Linked DNA regions of Cricetulus griseus. Each later gene encodes a partner of the first gene's protein in a complex. Links are inferred from orthologs where the notes say so. Each region holds a gene or a part of one and is shown in the gene's direction. Other genes may lie near its edges.

Region 1 (3,814 bases):
TTAGATATGGACACACTAAGCCAGCCTGTCTCACTGGAGAACAGCAATGGTGTTCATGGCATGGGGGGGGAGGGTGGTGGCCACATGTGTGAACATAGCATGTTTTTAGTATTTCCTAGTTTACATTTAAGCATCTAATTTTTTTTTTCAGTTGGTAGAGCTTGATAGCCAGGATGTGGAATATGCCACGATAAGTGAACTTTTTAAAGCATCCATGAAATATTTCAAGATTGTATCGATAAAGAGGATATGGAATCAAGACCTCTGGGAAACTTTTGAAAGGTGACATAATCAGACCTTGTTTGGGACTGTGTAGTTAAAGTATACTAAGAGGGCTCATTTTATTTTCACATTTATTTGGTACTAGGGTGCGGGGCATGCATGCATGTCATAAGGCAACTTGCTGGAGTCATTGGGTCTGCCCACGTGGGTCCAGACGATTGAACCCAGGCTCTCATGCTCAGCGGCAGCCATCTTGCTGGCCCAGTTTCTTGGTACTGAATCTCACATTTCTGTATATTAGGAAGAAGCTGATGATGAAGAATGACAATGAGATGCTGCTGTTTCATGCAACATGCCGTGTTCATGTGGATTATATCTGTAGAAATAATTTCGACTGGATCATAAATGATAGTCGGGAGACCAAATATGGAAAAGGTTTGTGCTGGGCTAGAGACAGCCATGATTCCAGCTCCGCACATGCTTTTGTTGAGATGTTCTTGGCATTAGTTTGTAAACTTGCATGTCTGGGCTCTGGTGGCCCTGGAAGAAAAGAAGCTAAGTTACCTTCAGCCTGTGTTAGGACAGGTCTCTTGACTTGGGGGTGTGGGTGTTAGGCCTTGGCTCTAGGTCTTCGGTCTTGTTTCTCTCTGGGGACAACTGAAGGTCTTCATTCTTGTAAACTGCTCCATCTACTGGCTGTATTGTCTGCCGTTAGCACTTACTGGAGATGGCTCTTCCTGTCCTATGTCTGTGACTGCAGAGCTTTTCAAACTATCTTTCTGTTGTCACCAATGGATTCCAGTTAAGAATGGGAAGAGGGGCCGGGAGTTGGTGGGGCACGCCTTTAATCTCAGCACTGGGGAGACAGAGGCAGGCAGATCTCTGTGAATTTGAGGCCAGCCTGTTCTACAGAGCAAGGCCCCTTCTCATGTCAGCCACATTTTTATTTTTAAAGAGGTTTGCCCTCCTTTTTTTTTGTTGAGGAATCATTCACTCTTTGTGGGTGTTTGAGGAATGTGACGTAGTCAGACCCGGCAGCATAGTACAGTGTAGAATTCTGTGGCGGGGACCAGACCTGTCTCAGGGAAAAATAATACAAACTACCTGGGAATGGTGGCGCATGTTTTTAATCTCCGTACTTGGGAAGCAGAAGCAGGAAGATCGCTTGAGTTTGAGTTTAGCCTGGTTCACATAGAGAGTTCCAGGACAGCTAGCACTACCTAGCGAGACCTTGTCCTAGATAAAATAAAACAATGACAAACTGAGGTGCTGGGGACAACTAGGAAGGAGGGGGGTAGGTAGCAATGACAGCTGGAGCTATTGGTCACAGACAGGTGGTGGGATAGTAGTAAGTGTTATTGGCAGATGTTTTTCACCCATACCAATGTCTGCTTCTCTGTATCCCGTTATAACCTATACTCATTGATAAATAACAATTTACCACTTTTTCTGGTTATTTCTAGGAAATTACTTTGCAAAAGAAGCCATGTATTCCCACAAGAATTGTTCATATGAGGCCAAAAACATTGTTATGCTTGTCGCCCGAGTCTTGGCTGGAAATTCCATTGAAGGAAATATGAGATACAGTAGCGCTCCCGCCCTCTATGACAGCTGTGTGGATAGCAGGTTGAATCCCTCGGTCTTTGTCATCTTCCAGAAAGAGCAGATTTACCCAGCGTATGTGATTGAGTACACGGAGCTAGAGAAAGAGAAAGCCTGCATAATTAGTTAGAAAACGATGTATACTGCCGCGTCGAAGCCTTTATGTTGACTTCTAGGACCAAACCATCCCCAGACAGTAGTTAGACTTTTGCATTTCCTTGCTACATTACCTAACGTCTTAAATCAGCCATTCTCAAACTTCTCTCCAGATTCACAGTCCCTGGCCAGGCAGTTTTTTTGTAAAAATTGCCCCCATGACTCCAGCATTTTGAAAAGATTTCGTTGTCTTACATTCCTAGTGAGGCTGGTTTCTAAATTGTCTGTAATCTTATCTTTCCCATCTACTCTTTGTTTTTATTGTGTATGTAGGTAGCATTGTTTCGGTTTCGCTTAATTTGAACTGGATATTAGTTTGAGAAATTTGAGAGACATGTAATAATGTTTATGGAAATAGGGACATATAAGAAGACATTGCAGCTTTGAGTAGAAAACTTGCTGAGGAAAAAAGTTTAAAGGTTAAATTTAAACGATATTGAGACACAAAAGCAGTACGCAATACTATATATTACCATGCGATGAAACTGACCTGAGGAACACATTTCTGTCTCTCTGCATTTACTTAGAAGACAGACTCCATGGAGTTGACTCTGAAATACAGTGATAAGCACCCCTAAGTATAGTTCAGAAGCAACTAACTGGAGTTAATTGTCCATTGAGGCTCTTGGTATCCGAGTTCTAATTCATGTGATTACAGAGGATGCTTCTTGCAGGCTTTTGTGTAATCATCCGGATTTTTTTAGTAAGATTAAGTTGCAGTACTGATAAAACCTAGTGTTATTGGGATTTGTGTACAGTGACAGAAGGGTTGTCAGAAGCCAGGAAAGGCCTTCCCTGTTGGAAGGGCCTTGTAAGGAGGCAAGACTGGTTTGTTGGTGAGCGCAAAGCAGTGCAGAGAAAGCAGTGTCCCACATAGACCTTTACTGTTAGCCACATCTTTTTGAAAGCATAGTGGGTGTGGGTTTTTTAGAGCATTTAGGACGCCCGGACCAATTTTTTTTCCTTGCTTACTGTGTACAGATCAGGTCCTTCCTTCCAACCTCCCTTTCTCAACGTTCTGTCCCAGTTGCCAGAGTTTCCTGGCATATTTTTTCCTTTCCTGTTACATTTTCTTCCAGCAGACATGTTCATCGTTAATGGGCATTTGATCAGATTTTTCATCAGTTGCTTTACTTTGAAAGTCTCCAATAATGATATATTGAGAATTTTTTAGAGTGGGATTCTTGTCATTCATTGCCACAATTTTTCTTTTTTAATTCACTGATTTTTCTTTTCTTTTTCTCACGTGGTATCTTCTATTTTGGAATACTCATTCTCTGACATAGACTTCATACTGTAGACACGTAGTGCATCTAACTACTTGGCAAGCTAACTTCTAGTTGGATATTTACCTGCCATCTCCAGTTCAACAGGCTCAAAATGGAACACTCTATTTGCCTGCTTCAAAGTGATTCACCCCCAAAGATTCACCTGCCCCAACCCCATAAACAGTATCACTTGCTCCCTGATACACAAGCAGAAAGCTAGAATTCCTCCCAGGCTCCTAGCTTCCCCCAGTCTGAGTCGTTCCTAAGCCCATTCTGAAGCACCTAGTTCAATTCTGTGGGTCTCAGTGAACTGTTCTGTCGGGGTTCCCACCCCTCCCCGCACAAGCAATATCTGTTTTAATCTCTAAAGTGCAATTCAGACATATATTCTCCATATAACTCCATTAATTAAAAAAAGTTAATATAATTTAAGAGGGAAATACAAGGCCGTAACTCCGGCACGACTTTACAGTACTAAGACATAATGGAGTCGTCAGATGCCTACATTTACCATGAATCAGTGTGAGCTTAGAAGAAAGGAATTGGCTGAACATGAAAAATCAGGG
Region 2 (3,814 bases), on another chromosome or scaffold:
TGGAGATTGAAGCTAGGGCCTGGTGCAGCTAGGTAATCACTCTACCAGCTGAGCTAGACCGCCAGCCAGCTCCCAGGAAGCGAGTTCCTTAGTGGCTGTCACTGTAGAGGCTTAGGATACACCCTGAGATGGAGGGAATAAGAAGAAACTGACTGGTTAAGAGTGTAATCTGATCACTGATCTTGGCTGGAATTGAGGCTACATTAGGGAATACTGAGAGAGAAAAGGCTGTAAGAGTGGCATCCGGGTGGATTCTAGAGCCGTTAGCTGCCAGCTTGGCCATGTGGACTTATTCAAGGCCTCTCACTTGGGCTGGATTGGGGTGAAGAGCTCTATGTAGGGGAAGAGCAGGTGAGGATGCAGGAAGATGGTGGGAGGCTGGCAGTAGTATTGTTTTAATGTCTGAATTAGTAAGGCGATTGTTGCCCTGGAAAGAAAGGCAGCATGGAAAGGTCAGAGGAGGAATGCAGGTTTGTGAGCGACTAGCAGGGCGGGAGAAAGTTATAGCTCACTCTTACTGTAAAGGGTTGTGAATGGGATGATGTTGGGAGACTACCTTGGATTCATCACTGTTTCTTCTCTAATCTTGGTGCCTATGTCTAGTTAGTCAGCTGTGGCTGGGTGATAGTGAGGGGAGGAGCTGAATACGGAGGCACAGGCTGTAATCCCAACTACTTGAGAGGCTGAGGCAGGAAGAAGGAGAGTTCAAAGCCTGCTGGGCTACAGAGTGAATTCAAGGCTAGACTGAGTAATTTAGCAAGATGGAGAGTTCAAAGCCTGCTGGGCTACAGAGTGAATTCAAGGCTAGACTGAGTAATTTAGCAAGATCCTGTCTGCAATTCGTTTGTTTGTTTGTTTGAGACAGGGTCTCTCTATGTAGCCCTGGCTGTCCTGGAACTATGTAGACCAGGCTGGCTTAGAACTCAAGAGATTCACCTGTTTCTGCCTCCTGAGTGCTGGGATTAAAGGTGTGCGCCACCATGCCTGCCTATCTCTTAGCCCCACTCCCTTGGTCTGTCTGTCTGTCTACCTACCTACAATTTCAGTGGTAAAGCACTTGCCTACGATGCACGACGGTCTGGGCCCAGTTCCCAAGAAGCTCCCCTCACGCTTCACTTCAGTAAACGAGTTGGGAGACTGACCTCCATCACCAGAATTGGGTCTCAGGCATGGATAGCATATTGTGGGGTTGGTCCTTGGAGAATCCCAGAATGGTGTCTGTGTTTTCTTGAGACAGGTTCATGGTGAAGCTGGCTGAAGAGACGGATGGGATCATTGTCTCCAATGACCAGTTCCGGGATCTGGCGGAGGAGTCTGACAAGTGGATGGCGATCATCAGAGAGCGGTGAGAATAGGGCACCGACTCAGACCTTTCTCTAAAACCAGCTCTTCTCTGACCACTGGGTGAGAACCCTGGGGAAGGGCCTGGAGGTGCCTCAGGGTGACAGCCAGGAGCTCTGGGTGCGGTCATTTCTGTGACTTCCTTTTTCCTCATCCAGCCTGCTGCCCTTCACCTTTGTGGGAAACCTCTTCATGGTCCCAGATGACCCACTGGGGCGAAATGGCCCCACCCTGGATGAGTTCCTGAAGAAGACAGTCAGGTGATGCCCCTTCTCTGCCTGCAGCCTGTTGAGATCTGCTCCTCTGAAGGATTGGAGGTTTGGATGGGAGTGTCGCAGTTTGGGCCAGCTTAGTTCCGCAGCAGTCTCAAGTTTTTGGGACTGGTCTTTAAAGTCCCCTCAGGGAATCCTGACACAGAGATACATTTATTTCTTTATTCTTCTGGTCAGTGTGTTTGATGGAGCTATTTGGGAGATGGTTGCATGTAATGATAGCCAGTTGTACCCCGACACCCTCTGTTGGCTCCTCAAGCAAGTGATGAAACAGGGCTACATCTCATTAGGGTTGTTTTCCTAGTGGGTTGATACTGCCACTCAGTGGCCGGCTTAGTGAACTTCATGAATTCATCTCCTAAAGCTGGAAATTGGTCAGTTTGGCTGAGGCTCCCTGGGGCCTAGTTTTTCTCAGGAGTACTTATCAGTTCTTACTCTGCTTTTCTCCAGGAAACAGGGCTCTGCTAAGACTCCCCAGCCCTCCAGGGGCCCCACAGACCATGGTAATCAGCAGCAGGGGAAGCAGGGGAAGGAAGAGGAGAGAGGCAGTGGTGGTATCCGCAAGACCCGGGAGACAGAGCGGCTCCGGCGCCAGCTGCTGGAGGTGTTTTGGGGTCAGGACCACAAGGTGGACTTCATCCTGCAGCGGGAACCATACTGCCGGGATATTAATCAGCTTTCTGAGGCCCTGCTGAGTCTCAACTTTTGAGCCTTACTTGCCTGCATAGCTGCTGCCCTATCAGACTCAGCTCCCCCAGCCCAGCCCCTTCTTTACAGTCCTCTGCTGCTCAAACTGTGCATGGATCCCTCTAAGGTGGTACTCTGGCTGGAGGAAGCACCAGAGAAGAGATCTGAGTGTGGGAATACTCTTGCCTCTGGGGTACTTGAGGACAGGTCCATAGAGTGACTCAACCCGAGTCAGGACCACTTTAATCAGAGTTAACTGCTCAACCTCGTCTTTGCAGAGGGTTTCTATAGGCTGTAGAGGCTCTTCATGAAGACCGAGACCGTCGGCCTCACCTCCAAGTTAAAATGAGGTGGAGACTAGGGTAAGCTGGAGGTGGCAAAAGGCTGAGGTGAGGAAGAAAGCCCCCCCAGGCTGCTCTTCTGAGTGGCTGTTCAGGCTGAGCTGTCTGGGTTCTGAAGGGCCGTAGTGCTGTGTGGGCTGTTGGAGGGACAGCAGAGACAGACCCACAAGGCAGAGGGGGGTACCGGGCTTCCAGTCTCAGTTGTGCTCTGCTTGTGATCTTGGCAGAGTCGCTTGGCCTTTACTTATGTCTATACATCAGGTATAGAAATAACCTTTGAGAGGAGGAATGAGAACACAGAGGAAGCTTCTGTGAGGAAGTGATCTTGGATCATGTCTCAGGTGTGTCTGCCTGTGTCTGCATAGGCTCCCTAACCAAAAGTTCCCATTCAGAGATGTCCACAGTCCATACCCTCAGTTTTAACACTGGGTTTCCAATAGAACATGCCCTGTAATGGCTGCATCCTTTCCCAGCAACCTTCAAAACAAAATAGTTGTTAGGGTTGATTGTTGCATTACCTAAATACTCTCAGGGTTCCTAGAAGTGGCAGCTGGTCAGCTGCATTCAGCTGTTAGTTTACAGATTCACAAATGTGTCAGAATGGCCCTGGTTAAATCCTCTCTCTAGTGTTGAGTGTATTCACCAAATTCATGAAGCCATGCTTTGCATCGACAATGTTAATGGGATCTATCTAATATTTCTTCTATGAAAGATGTAGGTTGCATTCAGCAAGACACACTACTACTTTGTGTGTATGGTGAAGGAACTATTATCTAGCAAGTGGAAGCTGAATCATCCGAGTTGAAAGATACCTGATTGGTCACAGATAAACTCTACGGACCTATCATGACCAACTGTTTACATCCCAATCCCCACAAGTTATTGTTTTGTATCTGCTTGATTCCTGGCCAGGGAATTTACTCTCTGCAAGGTGGCACATTCCTGACCTGGATGTATAGTTTTTCCCGGAGATTTTCCTCTAGTGCAGCCTAACAAGCTTCTGTTACTATTACTTTCCCCAGGAATGACTGAGAGCTAGCCAGCTTCTCAGATAAAGAGGTAAGGCAGGTACTTCTGGGTTCAGTTCTGTTTGGAACCTGTAGTGAGTTCCTGAATTAGATTCTTTTCTGGCTGGCTTACTCCAAGTGACAGAGAGGTGACTGTGTATGGAAC

Evidence for each region.
Region 2: the proteins of Zc3hav1 (region 1) and Khnyn are in contact, whole or in part, in a crystal structure (PDB 9BGL), measured with the Homo sapiens proteins. The link is inferred for Cricetulus griseus from reciprocal best matches to the Homo sapiens genes ZC3HAV1 and KHNYN. Residues at the interface, in NP_064504.2 of Homo sapiens: Glu5, Val6, Cys8, Phe9, Lys12, Ile13, Ala16, His17, Glu29, Ile30, Ala31, Leu32, Leu113, Glu115, Phe118, Ser127, Gly128, Leu129, Asn130, Glu133; in NP_001277186.1 of Homo sapiens: His651, Lys652, Asp654, Phe655, Gln658, Arg659, Pro661, Tyr662, Asn677, Phe678.

What each region holds. Positions count from the first base shown.
Region 1 is NW_023276806.1:189,850,525-189,854,338, forward strand, and holds part of Zc3hav1 (zinc finger CCCH-type antiviral protein 1), read left to right. Parts: intron 1-151; coding exon 152-282; intron 283-523; coding exon 524-657; intron 658-1,685; coding exon 1,686-1,954; 3' UTR 1,955-3,814.
Region 2 is NW_023276807.1:211,083,768-211,087,581, forward strand, and holds part of Khnyn (protein KHNYN), read left to right. Parts: intron 1-1,237; coding exon 1,238-1,345; exon of another isoform or gene 1,346-1,404; intron 1,405-1,499; coding exon 1,500-1,601; intron 1,602-2,063; coding exon 2,064-2,322; 3' UTR 2,323-3,814.